Pelodiscus sinensis: one gene and its partners. The protein of the gene in region 2 interacts with the protein of the main gene of each other region in a biochemical or structural test. Links are inferred from orthologs where the notes say so. Each region holds a gene or a part of one and is shown on either strand. Other genes may lie near its edges.

The links.
Region 1: the proteins of UBE2D3 (region 2) and RFFL form a complex in vitro, tested with the Homo sapiens proteins (5 studies listed by BioGRID). The link is inferred for Pelodiscus sinensis from reciprocal best matches to the Homo sapiens genes UBE2D3 and RFFL.
Region 3: the proteins of UBE2D3 (region 2) and UBA6 form a complex in vitro, tested with the Homo sapiens proteins (2 studies listed by BioGRID, with this or other methods). The link is inferred for Pelodiscus sinensis from reciprocal best matches to the Homo sapiens genes UBE2D3 and UBA6.
Region 4: the proteins of UBE2D3 (region 2) and SMURF2 form a complex in vitro, tested with the Homo sapiens proteins (12 studies listed by BioGRID). The link is inferred for Pelodiscus sinensis from reciprocal best matches to the Homo sapiens genes UBE2D3 and SMURF2.

The regions. Positions count from the first base shown.
Region 1 is NC_134731.1:17,191,273-17,198,177, forward strand, and holds the start of RFFL (E3 ubiquitin-protein ligase rififylin), read left to right. Parts: upstream 1-3,899; 5' UTR 3,900-3,914; coding exon 3,915-4,053; intron 4,054-6,905.
Region 2 is NC_134715.1:25,177,016-25,183,959, forward strand, and holds the start of UBE2D3 (ubiquitin-conjugating enzyme E2 D3), read right to left. Parts: upstream 3,024-6,944; 5' UTR 2,520-3,023; coding exon 2,496-2,519; intron 1-2,495. UniProt on the Homo sapiens protein: Accepts ubiquitin from the E1 complex and catalyzes its covalent attachment to other proteins. In vitro catalyzes 'Lys-11'-, as well as 'Lys-48'-linked polyubiquitination.
Region 3 is NC_134715.1:4,190,200-4,197,753, forward strand, and holds the start of UBA6 (ubiquitin-like modifier-activating enzyme 6), read right to left. Parts: upstream 3,001-7,554; 5' UTR 2,842-3,000; intron 1,782-2,841; exon of another isoform or gene 1,753-1,781; intron 1,329-1,752; exon of another isoform or gene 1,308-1,328; 5' UTR 1,106-1,307; intron 113-1,105; 5' UTR 2-112; intron 1-1. UniProt on the Homo sapiens protein: Activates ubiquitin by first adenylating its C-terminal glycine residue with ATP, and thereafter linking this residue to the side chain of a cysteine residue in E1, yielding a ubiquitin-E1 thioester and free AMP.
Region 4 is NC_134730.1:20,923,975-20,931,062, forward strand, and holds the start of SMURF2 (E3 ubiquitin-protein ligase SMURF2), read right to left. Parts: upstream 3,018-7,088; 5' UTR 2,698-3,017; coding exon 2,646-2,697; intron 1-2,645. UniProt on the Homo sapiens protein: E3 ubiquitin-protein ligase which accepts ubiquitin from an E2 ubiquitin-conjugating enzyme in the form of a thioester and then directly transfers the ubiquitin to targeted substrates.

The DNA of each region.
Region 1 (6,905 bases), on a different chromosome or scaffold from region 2:
AGAGATTTTTCTTCCACCTTTTTCATAACTCTTTGTCTAAGTTCTGAGTGGTTTAAGTTGTATATGCAGAGATATTGAGCATAAAACTAATTTACCCAGAAGATTAAGTTTATAATCTTAGGAATCTGTAGCTATCTGTGTGTGTATTGGAGAGCGTACCCCATTGGGAGTATTTTTTGTTAGTGTATTAATGAAAACTTCAAACTAGGGGCTTGCTCTGTTTCGTGGCTGAATATAGTCTGGAATAGTAAAGTTTACAGAGAAAACCATCATTCTGCCCATTGGAAAAACAGGTTAATTTCATAGTGAGTGATAAGACTGTGCACCAACTGACTTCACCAGTCAAGACTTTTTTCTAGTCTTGAACTTGCTGCCCAGAGCTGCTGCTACTGTTTCAATTTATAAATCAAAATGGAAGGTTCATTAATTTTCCTTAGCTTCTAAACATTTGTGTGGAAATTAATATTCTTTGCAAAATGACTTGGGATGTCTTGGCAGGCAAAGGCACTGTAAAAGCATTTCTTGGGCAGCTATCAAGAGGTTACATGCTACTGAACCTATATTCCACAACTTGCGGCTGAAATATCCACTCTGCTAGCTTAAGTTAATCTCTCTCTATATTTTAGAGTGCATCTGTCTGTGCTTCTGTCTGTGAATCTTTGTTCAAGAACTTCTTCTAAATGGTAAGAGCTAGGACCACCAAATTTGGTATGCAAATTTCCTCTTACGCTAACGTAAAGCAAGGTTAGGGTTTGGTTGTGCCAGGAAAATGGGAAGTGCCAGGAATGGTACAAGCTCCAGGGGGTAGCTGAGTTAGTCTGTATAGGATAAATTTACAAAACAAAAACTGGTAGTGCTACCAGACCAGTTTTTGTTTTTTAAGTTTAGGAGTGGGACTATTTTTCATAATTTGAAAAGGGAGGGGCAGAGAGAGGAGATATGATACTCTGAGTGGCCACTGAGGGCAGCGAACCTGCAGCGGAGAACTATACTGCAGAGTGACCACTGGGGGCAGCTGCACTAATGAGAGACTGGCCAGCTGGGGACAAGACTCTGCCCCAAATCATTGCCTGCACCCCTCAACGCATGCCCTCACTCCTGCACCCCCACCCCATGCTCTGAGTCCCCCCCATCTTCGTTCCCCTGCCATGAGCTCCCCCAGGCACTGAACCCTCTTCCCTGACTCCAGACCCCCATCCAAGCCCCTGCCCTGACTTCTGCACCTTCACTCCCTGTCCTGAGCCACCCCACTTGAACCCTGAGGCTCCCCAGCCTTGGCCCTCACTCCAGTACCATTCACCTCTAGCCTTAATCCCCCACACCTCCTAGCCCCCTGCCCTAACTCCTTAACCCTACTCCTTGCTCTGAGCCCCACATATACCCAACCCTCTATCCTTCCCATCACCTGCCTCTATCCTTCCCGTCACCTGCCGTGACTCCTTCACCCCCTCACCCATGCCCAGAGCCCTCCTAGTCCCCTGTCCTGACTCCTTCACCCCATCCCCTGAGCCCTCTCCCATCCCCTTGTAATCAATCATGTAAATATTGTATGTTCATTTTTCCTTTTAATTAAAAAACCCCAACAAATCCAAAACATTACAACAGTTAAGAACCTGAGCAGCACTGGGATACATGTGCTAGTTGAGTGTAAGTTTGAGTTTTCTGCACATTGTAAGGGTATTGGTCTGCTTTGTTAAATCATAGAATACTAGGACTGGAAGGGACCTCGAGAGGTCATTGAGTCTTGTTCCCTACCCTCATAGCAGGACCCAATACTGTCTAGACCATCCCTGACAGACATTTATCTAACCCACTCTTAAATATCTCCACAGATGGAGATTTCACAAACTCCCTGGGTAATTTATTCCAGTGTTAAGGTTTCCATCTTGGTAGATTCAGAATTCAGAACTACTTTGAATTCTATGGGAGCATCACAGAATCATAGAAAGGCTGGCCTAAAAGGAACCTGAGACGGTCATCAAAGCCAACCTCCCATGCTGAAGCAAAACCAAGTAATTCTAGACCATCTCTCGCAGGCGTTTGTCCAACCAGTTCTTAAAAACCTCTGTGACCTCCATCGTGAAGATTCCATGACCTCCCTTGGAGGCTTATTACTGAGCTTAACTGCCCTTAGAGTGAGAAATGTTTCCACTCTTTAACCTACATTTCCTTTGCTGCTGATTAAGCCTCTTACTTTTAGTCCTGCTTTCAGTGGGCATAGCGAACAGGTGATCACTGTCCTTTTTATAATGGCCCTTAGTATATTTGGAGATTGTTACCAGTCTTCAGTAATCTTTTCTCAAGACTCAATGTGCCCAGTGTTTTTAACCTTTTCTCATAGGTCACATTTTCTAAACTTTTTATCATTTTTGTTGTTCTCCTCTGGGCTTTTTCCATTTTATTCATATTTTTCCTGAAGTGCGGCATCCAGAATTGCATAAGAATCAGCTGAGAGTGTCTGTGTTATTTGGTGGGGTTTACATCTGGCCTGCTGGAGTTTCAGAAGTTGTTTAAAAATAGTCTCCTCTCTTCTCCCTTTCGAGTTTGACAGGTAGGTTCCTGAAGATAATTTTCAAATACTGCATTTTTTCTAATACTTTCCTCCTCTGATCTCCTTTGCAGGGAAGAGAAACGTCTTGCCTTCTTTGAGGGCAGCCTGTCTGTTTCTTTAAAAAGCCAGAATGTTTCTTGCTGCTTATTGTACTCTTAGCTTGCTACTACTAGGGCCTAGGGTTACCAGGTGGCTTCAGAAAAAAAATACTGGACACACTTGATCTTAGATGTGGGGGAGGACACCGGCTGGGAGGAGAGTGGGGCTGGCCAAGAGGATATGTGTGGGGGGGGGGGGGGGGGGGACCAGCTCGCAGGAAGCAGGGCTGGCGGGGGGAGACCGGACAGTGGGAAGCAGGTCTGGCTGGGAGGGGATCAGGGGGAGCGGAGCTGGCCAGGGGAGATCAGGAGGAGGAGAGGGAGGAGAACCGGCTGATGGGAAGCAGGTCTGGCCGGGAGGGAGTCGGGGGCAGTGGGGCTGGCCAGGGGAGATCGTGTGTGTGTGGGGGGTGGGGGGGCGTGACCAGCTAACGGGAAGTGGGGCAGTCCGGGAGGGAGTTAGGAGGAGGGGCTGGCTGGGGGCAGGGAGTGGGGGGAGAGAATCAGCCTGTGGGGAGCGGGACTGACCCAGGCGCTTGCAGATCCCGGGATGCTTCCTGTCCTGTGCACAGTCCTGGCGAAGCACGAGCGAGTCCAGCCCTGGGGATTCCATCCCGGTCCGGGGATTCCAACCTGCCCCTGTCCTCCCCTCCCCTCCCCCCCCCCGCCTTCCCCCCCCAGCTTAGTTGCATACTGCCTGGCTAGTAGTCACACTCACGCAGCATGAGCGTGTCTACCAGCCAGGCAGTTCGCAACTACATACTGATATCCCTAATAATAATAATAATAAAACTTACCTAATTAGAAAATACTGGACATTTTATGTGTCCGGTATTTTCTTAATTTTTTCCCTGGATAGAACTCTCAAATACCAGACTGTCCGGTTCAAAACTGGACACCTGGCAACACTACTAGGGCCAGTGAACTTACCATTTTGCAAACATCTGCGCAGCTGTACCTTCTGGTCAGGATTGGTGTAGGAGTTTTGTAACTCCCTGTCGGGTTATTTTTAGAGGACCCTGGAAGTTTCCTAGTGTTTAATTTACCCAGTAGGCTAGGAAAGCATTGCTCTTTTCTATCCTGTTTAAACTAAAAGCATACTTACATGTTTTTCAGTTTTGATTAATACATGTTTTATAACCTTGAGTTTTTTCTTTAAAAACATAAATCCCCCAAATGACCTTACTGAAGATCAATTAAAACTAAAGACAGCAGAGTTAAGGTTTGCCCTCATTCTGTACATCTCTTTCTAGGATTTTCTTGACATGGTCAAGATCAAACAACATTTAGAGATCTGCAGTGTTCAACAATCTCTTATTCATGCAACGGAGTGTCTTCATTTTATGTTGCAGGGCCGTATTAAAACTGCAAGATTGGTATTGTTTATATATGGACTCTCATATGGTAATTTATAAAAATATTTTTCAGGAATTAATTATGAACATTTAATGAAATAGAGATCGAAATGCAGTATTTGGGGGGGGAGGACCCTTTTATGTGTATTTTGTGCATCTCCCTTATTGGAGAAAATTATATTTTTCTTATGGTAAATTTGCAGCGAAATTAAAACTCTTGTGCTTTCTTATAATATTACTACAATTGATGGAAATCTATAGCCAATTGTCACTATTTGTTATATTAATGGCTGTCATTTAGTCTGGAGTGTTCTTATTCATTTCTCTAAAATCTGGAAATCAGTTTAAGGACCTTGCAGGTCCTACAGACCTACAGTAATTAATTTTTGCTCAGTTTGCAAGAGTAGTTTCTATAGCAGCTAAGCAAGTTTAGGAATCTCCTGAAATCACATCTGAGTCGTCTTGTCAGCATTCTGATAATTCCAGAACAAAATGTAGGCTTCATAATAATGATCTTAGTCTTTGTTTCTTCTGAAGCAAAATGCAGGACAATGTAGCACTTTAAAGACTAACAAGATGGTTTATTAGATGATGAGCTTTCGTGGGCCAGACCCACTTCCTCAGATCAAATAGTGGAAGAAAGTAGTCACAACCATATATACCAAAGGATACAATTTAAAAAAAATGAACAAATATGAAAAGGACAAATCACATGGCAGAACAGAAGGGGGATGCGGGGGGGGGGGGGGGTGGGAAGGGGGAGGAAGGAAGGTAAGTGTCTGTGAATTGCTGATATTAAAGGTAGGGAGAGTGGGATGTTTGTGAGTTAATGGTATTACAGGTGATAATTGGGGAAACTGTCTTGGTAATGGGTGAGAAAGTTCAAAGACTTGTTAAGTCCTTGTTGGTAAGTGTCGAATTTTAACATGAATGACAGTTCAGAGGATTCCCTTTCAAGTGCAGATGTAAAAGGTCTTTGTAGCAGAATGCAGGTGGCTAAGTCATTTAGAGAGTGTCCTTTCTGGTTAAAGTGGCAAGAAACTGTTTTCTCTTTGTGATCTTGTCTGATATCTGTTTTGTGGGCATTAATCCTTTGGCGAAGTGTCTGAGATGTTTGTCCAATGTACATAGCAGACGGACACTTTCGGCACATGATAGCGTAGATTATATTTCTGGATGCGCAGGAATATGTGTTCTTGATCTTATAACTCACTTGGTTAGGTCCAATAATGGTATCAGCAGAATGAATATGTGGACAAAGCTGGCAACGGGGTTTGTTGCAAGGGAAGGTACCAGGGTTGGTATTAGTGTGGTATGTCCTGTGGTGGTTGGTAAGAATCATCTTGAGGTTAGGTGGTTGTCTATAGGAGACTATGGGTCTGTCTCCCAGAGCCTCTTTGAGTATGGTATCCTGTTCCAATATAGGCTGTAGTTTATTGATAATGTGTTGGACAGGTTTAAGTTGGGGATTGTAGGTGATGACAAGTGGTGTTCTATTGTTGGTTTTCTTGGGTCTGTCTTGAAGTAGATGGTTTCTAGGTATTCATCTGGCTCTTTCAATTTGCTTTTTTGTTTCTCTGGGTGGGTAGTTGAGATTTATAAATGCTTGGTAGAGATCCTGAAGCTTCTGGTCTCTGTCAGTGGGGTTAGAGCAGATGCGGTTGTATCGAAGGGCTTGGCTATAGACGATGGATCGTGTGGTGTGTTCTGGATGGGAGCTGGATGCATGTAGGTAACTGTATGAGTCAGTGGGTTTTCTGTAGAGAGTGGTGTCTAATTTTCCATTGTTGATTTGTACGGTGGTGTCCAGGAAGTGGATCTCTCGTGTAGAATGGTCCAGGCTGAGGTTGATGGTGGGGTGTAGGTTGTTGAAATCTCTGTGGAATATCTCCAGTGTTTCTTGGCCATGTGTCCAGATCATAAAGATGTCATCGATGTACCGTAGGTAGAGGAGGGGTGAAAGGGTACGGGAGTTGAGGAAACGTTGTTCTAGGTCAGCCATAAAGATGTTAGCATACTGTGGGGCCATGCGTGTACCCATGGCTGTGCCGCTGATCTGGAGGTATAAGTTGTTCTCAAACCGGAAATAATTGTGGGTGAGAACAAAGTTACATAGGTCTGCTATCAGGTTGGCAGTAGTGTCCTCTGGGATAGTGTTTCTAATTGCTTGTAATCCGTCTTCATGTGGGATGTTGGTATATAGAGCTTCTACATCCATGGTGGCAAGGATGGTATTATTGGGGAGGTTATCGATGTTTTGTAGTTTCCTTAGGAAGTCAGTAGTGTCTCGGAGATAGCTGGGGGTATTGGTTACGAAGGGTTTGAGAAGAGTGTCTACATAGCTGGATAGACCAGTAGTGAGCGTGCCAATACCAGAGATGATGGGACGTCCGGGGTGCCCAGGTTTATGGATCTTGGGAAGTAGATAGAACAATCCTGGTCGGGGGTCAGAAGGTGATTCTGTGAGGATTTGTTTCTTCTGGTTTGTCATTCCTTCTTTGCAGCATCCAAACTGGTGCAAAGTTTGAGTGAGTTAATGGACTACAGCCTCTCCCTGAGTTACGGACCAAACTCTTGGCCGTAACTCAATCTGTTCATAACTCGGACCCCATTGAGTTACATAGCGACTGCGCTGTTCATAAGCGCAGGTCGCGTTTGTAACTCAGAGACCGCCTTTAAGACTGCTCCATGGAAGCTTTGGTCATAAGTGCGAACGGTCAAAACTCGACTGTTCGCAACTCAGGGAGCAGTTGTATTAAAAAAAAATCAGGGCAAACCTTTGTATATGCTGCTCCTGTAGGTGGCCTCCATAAGGCCTCCTGGGAACTGGGCTTAATGTGGATATAGTTTTCATCTCTTGTGAAGGTTGTTGAATGCTTTCCCACTATTCAGCGGCTTCAT
Region 2 (6,944 bases):
AAAACAAATACATAATCTAAATGTTTTCATGTATACTAAAATGCAACTTCAAAATGGTTAATGAGGTGTCAAATCAAACAAAGGAAGCAAGGATTGAAAGAAAATGCCCCTGTTCGTGATATCTACTGAAAACCAACTGGCCGTGGCAGGTAATATTTCTACAGACTTGCAAGTTCAACTGAATCAGGTATGTGCAATTACAATGCTCTGAGGTCCTGGACTTGCATTTTTCAGCCCTGACTAGTGACAAGAACATATTATAAGAAAACATCAAGGTCTGAACTGTTGCACCATCAAAGCTAGAAACTGATATTTGGATTATTTTAACATTTGAAAGCTGGGGATCTGTGCTTTTCAGTGACAATACAGCCCTCTCTAGCTATAGTGATTGGCGGGACAAATCTTAAATTAATTTGATTGCAATCTCTGTCCTGATGCTTTGATTTTGGCATCAATTTTCCTGAGAGCCACTAGAACTGGAAAGCATTTCAGAATCCCAGATTACAGATAACACATTAATCTAACTATAACCAACTAAGGTGGGAACTACTAAAAAGCAAGTCACAGCTGTAAACAGTACCAATTTGGAGACATATCTTGCCATCTGATTTGGCTAAACTAGTCAGAAGTGGTTACATTTTCAACCACAAACCTTGGACAAGGAAGATGTGAGCCCCTGGACATATTTTTGTTATTAGTCATGTTTATTACAACAGTGCCTAACAATTATCAAGAACAACAATCAAGAATAAAGACCCATTTTGCTAGGCACTATAGATTGTATGGACTGTCTCCTATTATTTTATAATCTAAATAGACTTCTTGATACCAAATTATTTTTAAATATGTTCTAAGGCTCCAGTTAAAAAGAGACTCTAAATCTGAGATTTTAATGATTTATACTTCAAAAATTCCTCAGACCTACACAAGTCTGTGTTAAGGATGCATCTCATCTGCATGAGTAGTTGGTGACAAAGCATATCAGGGAGTCTCCCAACTGCTTCTTAATGTAAGTGATACCATCCACAGTTACAGTGAAAACAAGTTTGGTGGCAGGTTTAAAACACTTTCAAAATAGTTTCTGGTAAAAGTATAATTTTAATTAAAATCTACACATTCTCCTACTTAAAACTTAACAGTTTTGAATTTAAGAGTTTTGTTATTCTTGAGTGTGAACAGTAAATTAAGACACAGCAACAATGTTATATTCCTTTTAGTAAAAATATGTCCAGTTTCTGTAATATCTAAGAAAAAATATGACAAACCCCAACAACTATATTCAATTTGACATATTCATTGTATCATTTCAAGGCACTATGAGTTTCTGGTTGGTGACAAGCTGAAAAGTGACAAGGAGAAAATCATCTATCCAGTCTCAAAATATTTACAATGCCATAATGCTTTTAAGTACACATCAACAGCAACTCAGAGCTTAAGTAAGCTATTTAGCTGTAATCATGCTTGTCATTAGGACCCCAACTGTTGGGAAGCTTGGATGCTGCACTAAACACTAAATTATTGTTCACAGGAACGTCACAACTGAAATTGAGATTTATAAGTTACCTAACACCCACCTTCTGCCACTAACCTTGCTCTCTGGAAGGTTAAACTTCCATCACCTCAACATTTTTTTTGAGTTAGCTGTAAAGTTACTCCACCCTACAGGATTGTGCAAGAACGAAATGCTCAAAACATCACACAACAACGTCCTGCGCCCAAAGAAAAGGATGAGGTAAAAAGCCATCCCTCTACGACATCATGAAAGCCGAGGGTTTCTAGGGGAAGTGTAAACGTAGAGGAATAGGAGCAGCTGGTGTTCAGAGAGAGTCGACGGGAACGTGGACGTGTGTGTGTGTCATGTTATTGCAGAAAGCAAGAGACCCGGAAAGAGCCTGAACTAGGCAAACCCGCCGCCATCTTACAATGCGGGAAAGAAGTTAGACGCCAGGGAAGAGAAACCAATTTGGCCGGGAGGCGGATTGCCCCCTCGGCAGGAGCGAGCCCAGCCCGGGCTGTCGCTGCGATGTAAATAAAGCCACAGCACAGTCGGGCCATCGCTAAGAGCGGTAACGCAAGAGATGGAGGCGATTAGCCCTGCGGCTCGCAATGACACTGACATTTAGCGGCCCTGCCCCGGCCCTCCGGACACCCCACCACGTCCCCGCGGGGCCATGGGCTGCCGGCGGGTTCACCGCGACCTTCTCGGGGTCTGCGACAAAGAGCGCGCCGGGGCGACATCGCTCCCCCTCCCCAACTCGCCCCGCGCAGGCAGCCCGGGCCCCGGAAGGAGATCAGCCGCCCCCCGCCCGCTAGGCCCCCTGCTCCTCGCCAGAGACCGGGGCGGAGGGAGTCACTCGCCCCGGCCGGAGACCGCCCGCACTCCCCAGCCGAAGCCGGGGCGCCGCGCACACCGCAGGCGACAGGGCCTGTCCCCGCGGTGCGGGACGCAGAACCCCGAGCCCCAGCGCCGCCTCCCCGGCCCGCCCCTCGCTCACCTTGTTGATGCGTTTGAGCGCCATTGTGTGTGTGTTGCCGCCGCCGCCCGCCGGGCCTGTCTCTGCGCCGCGGTGACTCCGGGCTCCGCTCGCGTTGACGGGGAGGGGGGGCAGTTGCGTCTCTCCTTCCTCCGGAAACAGCCAGGGGCGCCCGCTCGCAGGGAGCGCAGCCGCCCACAGCCTCCGCCCGACGGGCGGGTCCGGCCCCTTCTCCGGAGATCGCCTGGCTGCCACCGCCGCCGGCCCGCCTCGGAGAGGACAGACGATGCGCTGAGCCTCCCCCACCACGGGAGAAACCGAGCTCAGCCCCCGCGCACTCCCACCACCGGTGGCGAGGCCGAGAAAGAAAGGAGGGGCGAGCAGGCACCGCCCCCCGCTCCCGGGGCGGGCCACTAAGGAACCTCGCCCAGAGCCCCCCCTTCCCTCTCACTGGAGCGGGGAGGGACGCGCTAACCGCCGCTGCCGCCTGCGAATCCGCGCACGCGCTACTGAAACTAGTGGGGGGGGGGGGGGTAAGACAGCCCCAGGCTCGTGCAAGGCCGGTGCACGCACCTTCTATAGTTGCGGGTGGGGTGTGAAGAAGAGGGAAGGCCAGAGGGGTGACTCTCGCGAGAGTAAGACTGCAGGCGTCCCAGATCTGGGGGCGGAGACCGAACGCCGCTTCTCCAATCAGAAGGGCGTGCTCCCCCTCTTCGCGGAGGCTGTGACACAGGGGCTTCCGGCGTACGAGACCGGGCTAATTTCCCCCATCTCCCTACGCTTGAGTGGGCGGTTTGTCGGTTATGGAGAAATCCCCAGAGCGAAAGCTCTTGCGGGGCCTTCGAGTCTCTCGTTGTACCCGGCTCGTCGTGGTCACTCGCCCGTCCCCGCCTCTGGGGGGGGAGGAGGGGAGTTCGTCTGTGCGTGTACACAAAATGGCCGTCGCGACCGGATCTACGTTCGTGAATCGCTAAGGCGCAGTACGGCGCTGGTATCCCTCCGCGCAGCCGCTGCGAAGGGGAAACAGATCCCAGTAAGGCCAGAGGGGGCGAGCGAGTGGCAGGGATGCCCCTCCCCTTCCTGTTTGTCTCGCGGGCCCTCGGGTGTGTTTCCAAGTCCGTGTAGACACAGCGGAGCACGTCGAGGTCGGGCTCGTCCTCCGCTGGCTTCACTCGTCACAGCCCTGCGGTTACTGCTGCTTCGCTCCGGCCGGGCTGCGGGGACACCGCTCGCAGGAGGAGGGCCCGTGCCCCACGCTGCAGCCTGGTCCTGTCCCCCGCCTTCTTCCCGCTCGCTCTCTCCCACCCCCACTGTAACCGGGCTGGGGTGGGACAAGGCCGCAGGCCGGGGACGAGGGATGTGAGAGCCAGGTGGAGAGTCTGAGGCGAAGCGGGTCGGAGCGCTGGAAGGCCCCAGGCTGTGGGGTGGGCGGGTGAGGGGGAGGAATGGATTCAGGTTGTAGGGTGGTGCAGGCCGGGCTGGAATGTGGGAGTGTAGGCTCTCGGGTGGGGGGGGGGCTGGGGAAGAGGAGTTTGAGGTGCAGGATGGGATGGGGCTAAAGTATTCAGAGGGCCAGGAGAGTTTCCAAGCTGGGGCAGGCAGAGTGGGTTGTGACGCCAAGGGCAGTGCATGTGGGAGGGAGCTTAAACGTGGGGCATAGAGTGTAGGAGATGGTTTGGAGTAACAGCCCCAGGTTGTGCTTACCTCAGGTGGCTTCTGGGAAGTAGCTAGTATGTCCCTCTGGCTAGATGGTGTTTTGGCCATGCAGCTCTATGTACCACCTCTATCCACATGCACCGCCCCTGCTGTTTCCACTGGCCAGAGTTCCCAGCTCATGGAGTTGCAGAGCTGGTGCTGGAGGCAGTGCATGGAACTCCATGGATGTCCCTATGCCTAACAGCCAGAAGGATATGCTGGCCAGCTGCACCACAGGGAGTTGGGTAGGGAGCTTGCCAGTTCTATGCCAAATGGATTTTTAACTACTGACCAGACTGTCATCACCAGAGTCCCTTTTCAAGTGGGTGTTCTGTTTGAAATCCAGACATCGATAGGTAACGCTGCTTACTATGACAGCAGTTCTTTGGCACCTGAACTTGCATTGCCTTAGTTCTTCAATACCCTCAATTCCCACTCCCTTTGGGCCATGTCACCCTCTCCCCAGTCCTGCCACTGAACTCTGCAATTAAAGAGTTAAGGTGTCATTATTGCACTTTAATTCACTCCTGAACAAAAACAGGGATGGACAAATTGGAGAATGTCCAGAAAAAAGCAACAACTGTGAATAAAGGTCTAAAAACATATAGGAGGGAAGATTGGGGAGAAATAAGGGTTTGTTTAGTCTGGGAAAGAGAAGATTGAAAGGGGACATAATAGTTTTCAAGTACAGAAGAGGTTGTTACAAAGAGGAATGAGAAAAAACGTTCTTAACCTCTGAACTTTGTTTCTTGTCCTATGTACTTAAATTGCAGCAAAGGCAGCTTGGGTAACAATTTGTCAGGGTAATTGAACATGGGAATAAATTGCCTAGGGAGGTTTTGGAATCTCCACCATTGAAGATTTTTAAGAGCAGGTTAGACAAATACCTATTAGGGATGGTATTAGAGAATATTTAGTCCTGCAATGAGTGCAGGGGTCCTAACTAGATCTCTCTGGAGCTCTTCCCAGTCTACCATTCTGTGGTGAGAATTGACACATCACAGGACTATTATTTCAGGCTGCGTGCAGACAGGCAGACAATTTTTAAGGGCTACCTTTGTTAATCATGAGGACTAGAAACCTTACTCTTAAAAAAACAGTTTAGATCTTGGACAATTTGATTCTGCCCAGGCATTCACAAATGTTTCAAATGGGCCAGGTGTTTGACAGTTCTGCACTGCAGTGAATTCTGCCTTTGAGTGAATATTAAATCCTGATGTCTCCAAAACACAAGCTCTGTTTTGTACTATGTGATCACAATTTATCTTGGGCTCCTGTATGATCTTCAGAGACTGAGGTCAGAAGAAAGTCAAGAATCTGGAGGGTAGGTGTATGGTGCACACTACTAGGCTCCTCTGAAAATGAAACACGAGACCCCTTTAGCGTGACCAGAGTGCCAATACCAGAGGCTTTGTCTTATATAGGCAATTATGCCTCCCTCCAAAAACGTGTCCCCATTTTTTGTACTTGCTATCTGGTTACCTTAGAGCTCTTGCACCAAGAGCAGAGAGGATGGTGGGAATGGAATGAGAAGCTGTCTGTAGGAAGGTAGAGGAGATGCTGAGATTTGGCTTATTTATAAGTAAGGATGTTAAGAAGCAGGTAATTGACTAATTGTGTAGTTCATACAATTTGTATCGACTACATGATTAGTCGATAAGGGGAGGTTGGAGTTCTGGAGCAACTCCGGCTGTGGCTCCGCAGTTTAAATATAGTGGGAGCCGGGCTGCCATCCAGTCAAAGCACTGCTATGGTTCAGTCAGCACGCTCCACAAATTCTAGGTATACAAGAGGCAGCAGCCCAGGCGAGAGGACAGGGAAGGCTGCCACAAAGTAGTCCCTGTCTGCAGTGGCCCAGGCTGACTAAGAACATAGGCTGCTCCAGCAGCAGCCCCTGTCTCTGGACAAGGGCTGCTGGAGCCAGCACAAGCTGGGACTGAGCAAGTTCTGGTCAGTCCCAGCTCAGGCTGGGTCTGGGACTGCTGTGGTTCTGTATTTTAAATGTAGCAAGAGCTTAACTGGCTCTTACTACATTGAAAATGCGGAGCCACAGCAGAAATAGGTCCTGGACCAGATCTGAGCTGGGACTGAGCTGGGCTCACTTAGGTCCTGGACATGGTGTGAGCCAGGACTAACTCCCATTATAGCTCTGCAGTTTAAGTGTAGGAGCCGGACTGCCTGCATGCCCGACTCCTACTACATTTAAACTACAGCGCTACAGTGGGGGTAGCTTCTGGACCCAGTGTGAGCTGGGACTGAGTGCCTTCCCTTATTGACTAATCATGCAATTGATACAAATTGTATTGAGTACACGATTAGCCAGTTACCGGCGTCTTAACATTCTTATCCCTTACTTCCACTCATCCCAACTTCCTTTGCTATGCCAGTTCTTGGGATATGGAAGTATGGAACACAGGTATTTTGTTCAAACCTGGTGGCTACGTCTAGACTGGCATGATTTTCCGCAAATGCTTTTAACGGAAAAGTTTTCTGTTAAAAGCATTTGCGGAAAAGCATCTGTGCCAATCTAGACGCGCTTTTGTGCAAAAAAGCCCCGATCACGCCATTTTCGCAATCAGGGCTTTTTTGCGCAAAACAAATCTGAGCTGTCTGCACTGGCCCTTTTGCGCAAAAGGACTTTTGCCCGAACGGGAGCAGCATAGTATTTCCGCAAGAAGCACTGATTTCAGACAGTAGGAAGTCAGTGTTCTTGCGGAAATTCAAGCGGCCAGTCTAGACACAGCAGCTGTGTCTACACTGGGCCACTTATTCCGG
Region 3 (7,554 bases), about 21 Mb from region 2:
CCCTGTTCCATGTAAATACAGTCAGGGCACTCGTGGCAATAGTGCTGACGAACCTCAACAACGATTAATGGAATTTCCCCTCAATTCTCTTGTGGGATAGTATTTTATGACCCTGTTTTATAGATGGGAAATTGAAACACAAGATCGATTAAGTGACTTGTTCAGGGACACACTGAAACTGAAGCAGAGCAGAAACTGGGCCCTGATCTCTTCCCTATCCATCCGGGGACAAAACCCTATCCTTCCTCGTGGCTAATAATTAAGCAGTACCGATGCTTTTTTGAGAGAAGCGTTGCTGGCTTTTGCAATCCTGAAAGTTGTCAGTGACACAATCATAGAGCACTTACTATTATTTATACAGAGCAATATCTGCACTCAGCAATTCTCACGAATGCTCTGCCTTGGATACGTTTCCACCTCAAACTCCCAATCTCCTGCAACCCAAATTGCACCCCAAGTCCCTCAATTCTAGCCCCAGCCTCCCCATCCCTGTTCCAGCCCCACCTCATGGCCCTCACCCCAACACTCGGCCCCAATCCTGAGTGCCCGCCCCACGCTAAACCCCTCATCCCCAAATCCGCTGGGTCACAGGCATCAACTTTCTTCAACTGGGTCATCTGAAAAGAAGTTTGTAAACCACTGATCTAGACTAGACCTACTAGAGGTACAGCCAGCCTGATAAAAACACCCGCAGCTCGTCTATCCCAGTGCTCCCACCTTTGCTAGCCTCAGTGCTATGCACTAACAATGGTACCTTTGCACAAAAACTACAGTCCAGACTCAGCTCATTTGCCTTAACCCATTCTAGCTCACTTTCAGGACGGATGGCAATTTAGGCTCTGTGTCTACTAACGTAATGGGTGTCAGTCAGCTCCAGTTACAGAATTTTTGCTGTCCTACATACCTGAAATTAAGCTCACAATCTCACACACCACCACGGTTTTAAAAATTCCCGCAAGAATCCACTTTAACGTCAAGACAGAGACAATTATGCTGTCCCTTGCGATGCGAACATATGTACTACAAATTAGACTGAACTCCTAATAGGAGGAAACGGTAGGAAAAATGGTATGTGAGATTAGTGGTATGAAGCTGTGGCACTTACTCAAACGGGACAGCACACAAATATTCTGGTATTTGGTTAGTTCAGATATACTGGGAAGTCAACTGTATCTGTTTAAGCCACTTCTGGATGCTGGTAAGAGTTCAAAAGGGCTTCACTGCAGCAAGAAATCGAAGGCGAGGGAGAACGAAGGGAATAGTGGTTTGTTTGGTTGACAATGAAACACCTCAGAGATGACCGATGACTGTAAAGGAAATGAACACATCTGTAAGGACAGTAAAACACTTGGTAAGATTTCTGCTACCAACGATGGTGTGGGATTTAAGGGTACTGGCGTTGGGTTATAGAGGGAGAGAATACTGGGAAACAAAGAGTACCACAGTTGCTGTGAGATTTTATATGGAAAATAAATGGCCCCACATGTCCAATATGAGAACTAAACAGTGTTTTATACAATCACATCCCTCCCTATATCTCCATTCACACATATCCTTCCATCCACCAGCACCCATTCATCCTTCTTCCTTAGCTCACCCCTCCACGATCCTCTCAACCCACCAGAAATCACCCCACACGCCAATCCCAACATTCACACTCCCCAAGCCTCTCTCACAATCTAACCACAAGTCCCTTCCCCAACACACCCCTTCGTACACTCTCCAGGATCTCCATCCCACACCCCCACCCACCTGGTGGGATGGTGTCCAGCATGTCAGGTCTGGGAATGGAAACACAGCTCTCAGAGCAAACTCCTCAACCCACCCCATGGGCCTCCCCTGCACACCCCAACCCACCCCACCCAACCCCCCTGCACACACACCCCCAGCCCACCCCACTGACCCCCCCTGCACACACAACCCAGCCCCGACCCCCCCTGCACACACACCCCCAGCCCCCCCGACCCCCCCGCACGCACACCCCCAGCCCACCCCCTGCACACACACCCCCAGCCCACCCCACTGACCCCTCCTGCACACACACCCCCAGCCCCCCCGGCCCCCCCCCGCACGCACACCCCCAGCCCACCCCCCCGCACACACACCCCCAGCCCCCCCGACCCCCCCGCACGCACACCCCCAGCCCCCCCCGACCCCCTCCGCACGCACACCCCCAGCCCCCCCGACCCCCTCCGCACGCACACCCCCAGCCCACCCCACTGACCCCCCCTGCACGCACACCCCCAGCCCCCCCGACCCCCCTGCACACACACCCCCAGCCCCCCGACCCCCCCCGCACGCACACCCCCAGCCCACCCCACTGACCCCCCCGCACGCACACCCCCAGCCCCCCCGACCCCCCCGCACGCACACCCCCAGCCCCCCGACCCCCCCGCACGCACGCCCCCAGCCCCCCCGACCCCCCCCGCACGCACGCCCCCAGCCCCCCGACCCCCCCCCCGCACGCACGCCCCCAGCCCCCCGACCCCCCCCCGCACGCACGCCCCCAGCCCCCCGACCCCCCCCCCGCACGCACGCCCCCAGCCCCCCGACCCCCCCCGCACGCACGCCCCCAGCCCCCCGACCCCCCCCCGCACGCACGCCCCCAGCCCCCCCGACCCCCCCCGCACGCACACCCCCAGCCCCCCGACCCCCCCCCCGCACGCACACCCCCAGCCCCCCGACCCCCCCGCACGCACACCCCCAGCCCCCTGGACACCCCCCCCAACCCACCCCACTGACCCCCCTGGACACACAACCCAGCCCCCCCCTGCAGACGCCCCCTACCGCCCCCCCGCACACCCTCCCTACAGCCCCCTCCCCCGCCCGGCAGGCTCTCACCGCGCGGCGGGCTCGGCGGCGGGGCCAGGCCTGGGCGCCGGCAGCGGGAGGGCGAAGCGGCAGCCGGGCCGGGGCGGAGCCAGCGCGTCCCCGCCTGCGCCACGCAGCGCCCCGCCCCTCACAGGCCCCGCCCCTCCGCACACAGCCCCGCGCGCGCCACGCAGCGCCCCGCCCCTCACAGGCCCCGCCCCTCCGCACACAGCCCCGCGCACCGCGCCCCGCCCCTCACAGGCCCCGCCCCTCCGCACACAGCCCCGCGCGCAGCGCCCCGCCCCTCACAGGCCCCGCCCCTCCGCACACAGCCCCGCCTGCGCCACGCTCGGGCAGACGGCCTTATTCCGGAGCAGGGCCAGTGTAGACAGCCCAGGGGTCTTTTCCAGAAAAAAGCCCCCATCGCGAAAATGGCCATCGCGGCTCTTTTCCGGAAAAGCAGCCTGCCAATGTAGACGCTCCTTTTCCGGAAAAACTGAAAACGGAATAGTATTGCGTTTTAAGCAGTTCCGGAAATTCATGCCAGTGTAGACACAGCCAGCGGGAAGAGCAGGCTTCTTGCGCAAGAGCGACGCTCTTTTTTAACAGGCATAAGCCCTCTGGCGCAGGAGCTCTTGCACAAGAGGGCAGTGTGGACGCTCAGCAGGGATTTCTTGCGCAAGAAAGCCCTATGGCTGAAATGGCCATCGGAGCATTCTTGTGCAAAAGAGCATCCACACTGCCATGGGCGTTCTTGCACAAATGCACAGCTCGCACATGGCAGTGTGGATGTTTTCTTGCGCAAGACTTCTTGCACAAGAACCCTTGCGCAAGAAGCCGCCAGCGTAGCCCTAGTCTTTATCACATCTTCTGGCAAGGAGTTCCACTGGTTGTGCGTTGAATGAAGAAAAACTTTCTTATGTTCAAATATGCTACATCTCTCCACTAAAATGTCCCCATAGAGACCGCTCTCCATGCTCAGGCTGCCCAGCCCCCTACATCCTCCACAAACTCACTCTTATTCTGATCTTACGCAATTGACCCCAGTCTCTTAACAATCTCTCTTCAGACAGAAGAGTGATAAAGATGCAGCCGTGTTAGTCTGGTCTAGCTGAAACAAAAGACAGGACTATGCAGCACTTTAAAGATTAACAACCATCTTGTTAGTCTTTAAAGTGCTGCATAGTCCTGTCTTTTGTCTCTTCACACACACACACACGCACCATCTGCCCCTACATCAGGTGCAGGCAATAAAATGGTGGCAGTTCACCATAGTTAGTCCCTGGTGGGCTCCTGCCACTATATTTACTTGCGCCTCTGCAGGTACAAGGGATCACAGCTTCCAATGGCCAGGAACAGCAATTCCCCCGTACTTGCAGGCTCAGGTAAATATGGAAGTGTAGGGGCCTGCGGCGACTAACCCTGGCAGATCAGATCTGGCCTACGGGCTGGTATCTGCCTACCCCTGCAACTCTATCCAGAGACAACTGTATTCTTTCCACCATCTTTCTTCTCCATGTGTCCACCAGAGCCCCCTCCCATCTCCCTTGAATTTAAGTTGTTTTTTTAGTTTTTTAACTGTGCAACCTTCTTGTTGCATTAATCAAGATTTTGTATTCAATTATGTACCTGAAATACTGGACCAGTATGTATACACGCAAGGTGAAACAAATCCTTATTTTCAAGAATATCAGATTCGGTTAAAATTGCTGAAATACATGGCACAATTTCTTTTTGATCTTTCGCTGTTTGTAGCTGTATCAACCTCTGTGTCTGTTCTCACATCCATGGAATAAACAGAGACAGAAGAAAACAAGCAGTACAAAAGAGAGTGTCCACTGTAGGAGTAGGTCTGCATGTAAAAGACATCTCCAAGAAGCAATAGCCACGTTGACTGGCAAAGCTCTCCCACCATCATTGCATGGTCTGCACAGGGAGTTAGAGTGCTGTCTACACGGCGATTCGATTGATTTTCACACCCCTGGGTGGCATAGTTATACTGAAATAGGTCTGTAGTGTAAACCTCACCTATGCTGTACAACATGAGACCAATAGAATTGTGTTGATTTATAGGGGTGTTCAAAAGAAGTCTCTTACACGGCTAAACTGGGATTGCATGGTAAATACACAATGTATGTGCGGTTTGTCTTCACCTGCATTAGGACTATTTAGCAACAAAAATGATGAAAATATGAGTTATGAGGGAAGACTGGAAGAATTGGACTCTTTTAAGTTTGGAAAAGGGAAGACATGATAGCAGCTTTCAAGTCTCTGAAACAGTGTTACTAGGAGGAGGGGGAAAAATTGTTCTCCTTGGCCTCTATTGATAGGACAAGAAGCAATGGGCTTAAATTGCAGCAAGAGAGGTTTAGGTTGGACATCAGGAAAAGCTCTGCCAGGGTTGTTAAACACTGGAATAAATTGCCCAGGGAGGTTGTGGAATCTCCATCACTGGAGATATTTAAGAGCAGGTTAGACAGACACCGGTCGGATAGGGATGGAAACGACTAGTCAACTATCCGATATTAATGGATGGTCGACTAGTGACTCAACTAGTCGCTTTCCCCCCACTTACTGCCTCTATCTGCACCGTCGCTGTGGTGGGGAGCAGGGACGCAGGGGGGAACCAGTGGCACTTCTGCCTTTGAAATATGGCAGGGGCACGTTGCGACATTCAAAAACAGACGCGCCACAGGAGCAGGGGGCAAGTACAGGACTCAAGCAGTCTCCCACTGACCCTGTGCTCTCTACTTTTGAAATGGACAAGAGTGGGGGTGCTTGTACATTTCAAAAGCAGGGCGCGCGGGGCCAAAATGGGAATGCTTGAGTCCTCCGCTGGCCCCATGCTCCCCACACACTTCCACCTTCGAAATGTAGCAAGAACTGGCAGGTGCCCTTATTGACTAATCAAATAGTCGATACAAATTGCATCAACTATTCAATTAGTTGATTAATTTAAATTTAAAATTCTTACTATCAGGGATGATCGAGATCAGCGGAGTGCAGCCTGTGGGTTGCAACCCCCATAGGGGCCGGCTGCCATTTTTTCCCCAGCTCGGCATACATGCGGTCGGGGCAAGGGGAGCAGCAAGTTAGTAGAGTGGTATTTAAAGGGGCCACACTTTTTTTTTTTTTAAACTCAAATAAATTTTCCTGGGGGTCGCGCCGGGAAAGGTTGCACACCACTGATCTAGATGGTGGTTGGTCCTGCCATGAGGATGACCTCTTGAGGTCCCTTCCAGTTCTCGTGTTCTATGAGTCTAGTTTTCAAAAATGTCTCTTTTGCTGGTGGCAGTTTACCTCCAGTGCTGTTAACAACACTGGGAGCACTAATGTAGACAAGCTATTGTTATTGTTTTCCGCTCTGATTCAGCAGAGTATCTAAGCCTGTGGAGCGTTAATCATCTTTTGGATTGTATGGGACCTGCTCAGGGAAAGGCTCATCAAAACAGTGCTTAAAGTGGTATTGTCAGACATCAGCGTAGAGAACAAAAAAGTATTAGTGGGTTGCAGGACTTGCAGATTTCTCACTTCCCCTCATATTATGGAATTTGAGCTCCCTTTTTAGTGACTGGTTATAGGAATTGCTTTGCCATATCAGACATGTGATCGCTCTAGTCTGTTGTTTTGTGTCTAACTGAACAGATGCTTTCCTGGAAAGTGCAAAATGATGTGTAGCAAATAATTAAAACATAATTGCTATAGAAGTTCTTCCTAAACCCCATCAATTAGCAGCTGCCCTATGCCCCGAAGCATGACCGCTTATTTGCAGATGAGTTAAAGTATTAAGTTGTCTAATGATTGAAATCGTTCTTCCCTTTGTGACCTCTTTCCAGTGCAAGAAATACACCCTGCTCCAGTTGGGTATTATAAATGCAGGGATCCTGTTCTTATTCTTTGGCCCTTTGTGTAGCCTGGCATCAGTTGGTAAATTAAGAAAGGCCATTGAATGACCCTGCTTGCCCAGGTGTAAATGGTTGTGCAAGGTGTAAGGCACTGGAGAATCAGGCCCAGAAGGCCAATGTAATAAAGAGGCTGCATCTGAGATGATCACCCGTTATAGGGCCACTGAACTCCCATGAACTAGTATTGCACATGTCCAGCTAAGGAATATGTTGCATAAAGTGTGAAGTTACGGCCTAGATGTAAGCCTTTAAAGATTCCTATGACTGAAATGCAAGGCTGCAATTTAGAGGGCATGCCGGCAGGTATAGTGAGCACTTTTAAAAACAGAATAATGTAGAGTCTAAGTCCTGTGACAGGCTCCATGCAGAGGCATGATTGCCCAGCTCTTCCTGTGGGGAGAGTCTGGCTCATGGCTCTGTTGAACAAGGTGGAACTGCACCATCAGCTCACCCAGGCAGGGGTCTGAAAACCCAGGTTGCTGCAAGACTCAGCAAGGCCAAAACACGGTCACGAGAGTGAGCAGGGCCGTGCTGTGGTCTCCAATATACACAATAGCCTGCCTTCCAGTAGGGGCCCAGCCGGCTCCCTTCCCCGTCAGTAGGACCCTCGTATGGCTCTTTTGCTGCAGCCCCAGGACTCCCTGCTGCCCTCCCTGTTAGGGTCACTGCGGCCTTCTTCTCTAGCTGATTGCCTGGAAGGTGGTTGCATCCTCTGTTCCACGTTCCCTGAAAAAGGGCCACTGGGGAAAGCAGGCCTCGCAAGGCCAGGCAAAGACGTACGCGATCTTCACTGCATGCACCACGAGTGGCACCGAGGACTGTAACTGCTCTACTCACA
Region 4 (7,088 bases), on a different chromosome or scaffold from region 2:
TAGCTCCACAGAATGGAGGAGGGGGCACAACAGGGCTTGGGATGGAGGGAGTTTGCTGGCTGCTTTTGAGAGTGGTGCAGGGCCAGGACAAAGGTGAGCCTGCCTTAGCCTCACTGCACTACCACCCAGGAGCCACCTGAGGTAAGCAGTGTCCAGCTAGAGCTAGCTCTGAGCCCCTACTCCAGGTCATGAACCCTTCCTGCACCCCAAGCCCTTGCTCTAGCCCTGAGCCCCTGGATCCAAACTCCCTTACAGAGTCTGTACCCCCACTCCCTGCCCTAGGCTCAGCTCAGAGCCCTTCTCACACGCCAAATCCTTTAGCCCAGGACCAGAGCAGGTGCCCCATCTCTGCCACTGCCTGATGAAAAGGAAGGAGAATGGGAGAGAGAGGGGGGAGTGATCAGGGGCAGGACATTGGAGAAGGGGCACAAAGAAGGGGGGCTATCTGGATTTGAGGTAGATCCTGGATTGCACTTAAATTCAAAAAAGTGATCTCATGCTTAAAAAGGTTGGAGACCAGTGGTCTAGAGTTTTCCATTAGGCCAAGGCAGGATTATAGAGCATTTTTTTAAACTCACCTTAGTTTCTCTGAGCTCAGTCAAAAAGCAAGGAGCCACAGACACAAAAGTGCAGAACAGTATTTTTAAACTAACACTGTCCCACATATCAGTCCAGCTCCACTCATTTCCAAAGTTTATTTCTAAGGAGTTCACCACCTGGGCAGTATCCTGGCCCTGCATAAAAACCCCTTTTACAAGATTAATCTAAATAAGTTCCAAAATAGAATGTAAGCAATTATAAGAAAAAAATCTACATGATCTAGAAAAAAGCCATTTTTCTCTACTTCGAATTTTAAAAAATTAAAATGCGGTAACTTTAATTTTTTTATTAGAAGTTAACTGAAAATACTGCACATACCATTAAAATTACATAATTTAAAAAATGCAGCAACTATTTTTAGACTTTTTTGAAAGAACTAATAGCTGTGCCTTACAAAATAAGTTAACTAGGTTCAATAAGTTGTTGGAAGACAAACTATTTTTAATACTTTTCTTAAATCTTGTATTTTCATATACTGAAGTCACAATTTAGAGTACAAAATGTGTTTTCTCAATTTGCTGTTTCCTCGCAAGTCTTCAGTGATTATTTTTCAAAGGCAGACAAGCTTTATTCATATTTATAAGTGTTTCTCCATATTTATCTACTTACATTGCCCTCATCACTACAAAAGGAGCTCATTCCAAGTATTCAGAAACAGATAATGTTTTCCTTCCTTTCCAGAAGACAGACTGAAATAGTTTACTTTTACATTTATGGTGTAAACTAAACATTTTTAAAGGCCATGGGTTTTTTAAGGGCTTTTTTCCTACAGTATGATGGCCTATATCCTATGAATTGTTTACAATCTCAACTGAGGAAACTGGCTTGAAAACAGCAACACAAAAGATCAAAACAAAGGGCCTGATAGTTCGACGATTACACAGAGAAGACGGAGAGGGTGAGAAACAACCTAAGGTACAATGAGTGGTCCTGTGGCACCTTAGTGACTAGCAAAAAAAATATAATATCATCATCTGACAAAGTGGGTCTTACCTACAAAAGCTCATAATACTATACATTTGTTAGCCACAGGACTACTCATTGTTTGTTAAAAAAAAAAAACTTAGAAAGCAACGAATAGTCCTGCAGCACCTTAGAGACTAACAAAAAATGTAGATGGGATCATGTCTTTTATGGACACAATCCACCCATGATCCCATCTACATTTTAGTTAGTCTCTAAGGTGCTGCAGGACTATGTGTTGTTGTTAAGTTTTTTTTCTATTACAGATTAACAGCGACCCCTCTGAAACATTGTTGTTCAAGTAACAACACACACAGCTACTCCTCTGAGACAGCCTAAGGTACCTACCAAAAAGTTACAATGGCCTCCCTAAATACTACAACATATTCAACAACAACAACAGAGAGAGTGGTCCGGCATTTTACAGAGAAATACATCTAATGAGCTCAGGTTTAATCGAGATTCTGATTGAGGGAGGCGAGGGGCTCCACTACCTCCACCTCACCCCACACACACTGCCCAGGGCTTCACCTCTCCTCCTAACCCAGGCGTGTTTACTACCCTAGAGTAAACAATCCTATCGTGGCCACAGCAACGTGTCCCACGGGCGACGGGCAAAACCGTGGCCCACGGACCCCCCTGCTGAGAGGAGGGAGGCAGGGAGTTTACTTCTTGTTTCCCCTGAGGCCTCTCCGTGCCCCAGGTTCAATCTCAAAGACACATGGAGGGAGCTCGGTCCCACCCACCCCTCCAGCTGGACTTGCGGGGCTTAGACAACAGAGAAAGGGGCTTCCCCGGGGTCTCTCCTTTCACACCCCCACTCCCTTCGCAGCCACACTCGCCCGCTCTGCCCCCCCCCCAGCTCCCTCACCCCAAATCTTCACCCCCCCCCCACCTTAGCCACGACGGCCCCCGCCCAATTCGACCCCTACCCTCCTGAACCACCGACCCCCTTCTCCCCACCAGGCTCCCCCTCAGCCGCCTCCCCCCTGCCCGTCTCCTCACAAAGCCCGGCGCTTGGCCCCCCCAGCCGCCCGCTCTCCGCCACCCTCTCCCGCCTTCCGTCCCCGGCCCCTCCTCACCTGTCAGTCGCAGCTTGACGGGCCCGTTCCTCCGGGCCCCCTGGTTGGACATGTCTCCGGCCGCGGCTGGGGCTCGGCGCTGCCTTCGCCCGGGCTGCCCCTGCCGCTGGGGCCGGGTAGGAAGCGGGGAGGCGCTAATGGAGTCGGGCTGGGCGCTCAGGGCAGCGGCGGCGGCGGCCGCCGGACGAAGAGAAGCCCGGATGTGCCCAGCGTCGCCATAAGCGGGGCCAGCGCCGAGGAGGAGGCGCCGCCGCCGCCTTCCCCCGCCCCCTGCCCGGGGCCCTGGCGGCGAGCACAACAAAGCCCGGGACAGCGCGTTACCGCGGCGGCAGCCGCCTCCCTTCCTCCGGGACGGAGCCTGCTCGCCGCTTCGCGCCCAGTGGGGGGTGGGGGCCCCCGTCCCAGTCCCCGCTGCTCTCCTGCCCCTGCGCTCCTCCTCAGGACCTCACTGCCCCGGGGGAAGGGCTGCGTGTCCCGACTGTGTCCCCCCCCCCCCACTGGGATGCCCCCAGGGCCTCACTGCCCCGGGGGGGGGAGGCGGTGTCTGTCCCCTAAGAGCCCCCCCCCGGGAATGCCTCCATGTCCTCACTGCCCCTGGGGGAAGGGGTGCCTATCCCCATTGTGTGCCCCCCCCACTGGGATGCCCCCAGGGCCTCACTGCCCCGGGGGGGGGGGAGGCGGTGTCTGTCCCCTAAGTGCCCCCCCGAATGCCTCCATGTCCTCACTGCCCTGGGGGGAAGGGGTGCCTATCCCCATTGTGTGCCCCCCACTGGGATGCCCCCAGGGCCTCACTGCCCCTGGGGGAAAGGTGGTGTCTGTCCCCTAAGAGCCCCCCCCCCCGGGAATGCCTCCATGTCCTCACTACCCCGGCGGGGGAAAGCCGGGGTCTGTCCCCTAAGTCCCCCCCCCCCAGAATGCCTCCATGTCCTCACTGCCCCAGCAGGAAGGCGATGTCTGTCCCCTAAGTGCCCCCACCCCGAATGCCTCCATGTCCTCACTGCCCCGGGGGGGAAGGGGTGCCTATCCCCATTGTGTGTCCCCCACTGGAATGCCCCCAGGGCCTCACTGCCACTGAGGGATAGGGGATGTCTGTCCCCACTGTGTGCCCCCTCCTCCTGGAATGCCCTCATGTCCTCACTGCCCCTGGGGGAAGGGGGTGCCCCCACTTCAAGGGAGTGTCTGTCCATTACTGCCTCCCCCCCCACTGGGATGCCCCCAGGCCCTCACCAGTGTTCCCTCTAATTTTTTCCACCCCTGAGCTGAGTGAATTTTCTGATGTGTGCCACTCAATACATCGTCTTCATATTGGTGCACATCACAAAATTAATGTGGTGGGAGTGGAGTCAAGGGGTTCTGAGTGCAGGAGGGACCACTGGGCTGGGGCAGATGATTGGGGGTGCAAGGGTTCTAGCTGGGGATACAGACTCTGGGGTAAGGCTGGGGGTGTTGGGTTTGGGATGCAGGAGGGGAAAAGACTAGGAGTTGGTGTGCAGGAGGGAGTATAGGTTCTGGCTTGGGCGTGCAGGCTTTGGGATGGGCCAGGGAATGAGGAGTTTAGGGTGAAGGAGGGGGACAACAGTTTTGGGGAAGAGCTGAGAGTTGGTGTGCAGGAGGGGGTGCAGGCTCTGGCCTGGGGGTGTGGGCTGTGGGATGGGTCTGGGGGTGAGTGGTTTGGGGTGCAGGAGAGTGCTCAGGATTGAGGGGAGTCAAGGGGGGACCAAGGTTTAGGGCTCAAGCTTACCTGGGCTGCTCCTGCTGGGAACAATGAGGAGTGGACCCTTTCCCCTGCTCACCTCAGTGCTGGTGTCAGCGGTGAGGGTCCCCAAATGCTGACCTGAGAGACTCGTATCTCATAATGGGCCAAATAGCTTGGGAAAATATAGGCATAAATCATTTTATTGTGAGTCAAGGGGTAGAAAAAAGAGTAAGCAATTCTTACTGTGAGGTGAGATACAGCTTTATATACTGAAAAATCAAAGATTCAAAAGTAAAACAACTTTATGGGATACAAGGTTGGAGCTAGATCGTGATACCCGTTTCACCTAAATTTATATCCTGTTTTGCTAGTAGGATGAGACTACTGATGGAAGGTACTTTTCTAACCCATCTTACAACTCAGAAAATCCACTATTTATGTGTGATTGAGTTGCAATAGAAAAGTCAGGGATATTCCTACACCCCTCTGAAATTCAAAAGACTGCTATAGCTACATCCCAATTCTATTTAATGGTGTAATGCTTCTGTCTTTAGGCTCCCAAAGAATTCCAGGCCTTTCAACACACTCAACAGCAGGGGCACTCTAAAGCAGGGAGAGGATTTAAGGGAGGGTATCTCAATGAACAGCCGAAGAGGCAACTTTCAAAAGTGTCCTAAATTAATGAGACAATCCTGGGACCAACATGACTATAACTACATTGCATACCCTAAATTAAGGAGAACATTTAAGTAGCTAAGAATGAGCAAGGTACTCCCACTTAAAATTATGATTTGGAGATGCCATTGTAACATTTTCATGAAGACTGAGATAGTGAGGAAACTACTGGCTTTGTAAGCAGACCGCTACTTATATCTGATACTGTTTCTGATTCTCACCCAACTAGTTTCATTATATAGGTCCTATGTAGCTCAGGCACTTAGCACTGTACAACCTGTAAAACTAGAATACTAATGAAAACATAATATTCAGTACTAAAAATCCAGACAAAACTATATCCTCAATACTCAATATATACTTTTCCTGATAAGTTGTATTGCTTTGTACACCTATACAAACTGAATGACCTCTCCATTATCTGGCTCAATGCAAGAGATTCCACTCCAACATTTCTGCTACAACTACATCCTATATAATAGCTGGTTTAATTAGAAGACTACATTTTTGCCTATGAGGTGAATGTTTTGGCTTTTTATTTTTTAATTTAATCAATTTAAGAATTTTATTTTTCCTTAGGGTTTCATTCAGTACACACTTATCATAGTTCTGGGTTGTACTGGACCTAAAGAAACCACCCAACTTTGGAGTCCCATATTGTTCTTCCATTTGAGGAGGACAGATGGCAGAACTCCCAGTCCAGGGTATAAGAAAATGAGATCAGAAATTGAATCTAGACAGACTTCCACATGGTAGTGCAGAATACTGAGCCACTGGTTTATCCATTATGTTAAACTAGTCTAATGTTTTTAGTATTTCATTTCCTTTTGTTTATTTTTAAAAGTAGTATTGTAAGAATATGTAGGGCAGAGAAGGAAGATCATACTGGCATAACATCAATGTCTGACGTACCTATATTTAAAATAAAACCTTCAATTGATAATATGCTGTATAGCACTATGCAGAAGCTACATAAATGTGTATTAGCAAATACATTTGTCATATTTCTTCAGGGCAAAGATTGTTTCTTTCATGTTTGGACAATGCCTTAGACATTGTACCACTATAATATTCATAATCTATTTAAATTCACATAGGATCTTGCTATCTGCAAAGTTTAATTTCAGAATCAAGTGTTCATTAAAAACAAACAAAAACTCTATCTGCTTTATTTATGCACTAGTTTGTAACTGTTTTTGCCAAAACCTACAAGATTTTGCTAGAGAATGTCCCTTGCCCCTCCTTTCAACACAGAATTCATGATTTGCAATTCTCACTGTAAATTATTCTTGAACATGGCTTTTTGATATATCTGGGAATTGTGCAAGATCTTTTGGAAGAGCTTTTTAAGCCCTAGAGAGGCTATCAGAAGAATTATACATTGTACCTGGATATTGTATAAGATACTGCTATTGACATAATTCCACTGGGTCATTCTTACCTCAATAAAACCATTATGAGTCTTCCCTTTACACTGTTTGGAATGAGTGGTTCTTTGTGTTATTAAAATTTTTATGAAAGGTGCACATATTCATATTACAGCTGCTTTTCAACATTAAATAACTAAATATTTTTCTGAAACCAAAGAACATGGGCAGAGTTATTGTTTGAGAAACTCATTCTTAAAGAAATATAAAAGCTTTTTAATACTGGTCAAAGAATCTGAAAACACCAAAAATATTTTTATCCCTCTTTTCAGACAATCGGTGGTCTTGTTTTTCACAGGTGCTGGGCATCTCTGATCTAAAGCCCATTGAAGTCAATTAGCTTCTTTTCATTTATTTCTATGGGTTTTGGATCAAGCCACTAGTAGTTAGCTTCAAAACACACTGAAATTCTGCTTCCCTAGGATCTCACACAGGCTGAAGAGCCAACAGTAGGAAAGGAGTCTAAGGCCTAGTTTCACAAAGGTACTTGGGGCATCTAAATACCAGATTTGGCTCCACTGTGATCTGCAAAACCCACATATAACTCTTAAGAAACCTAAACTTACTCAGCACCTACTTTTCCAGGATAAAAGTTCCTTAGGCACCTACTTTTCTGCCTCTAGCTATGTGCTGTTCTACCTTACT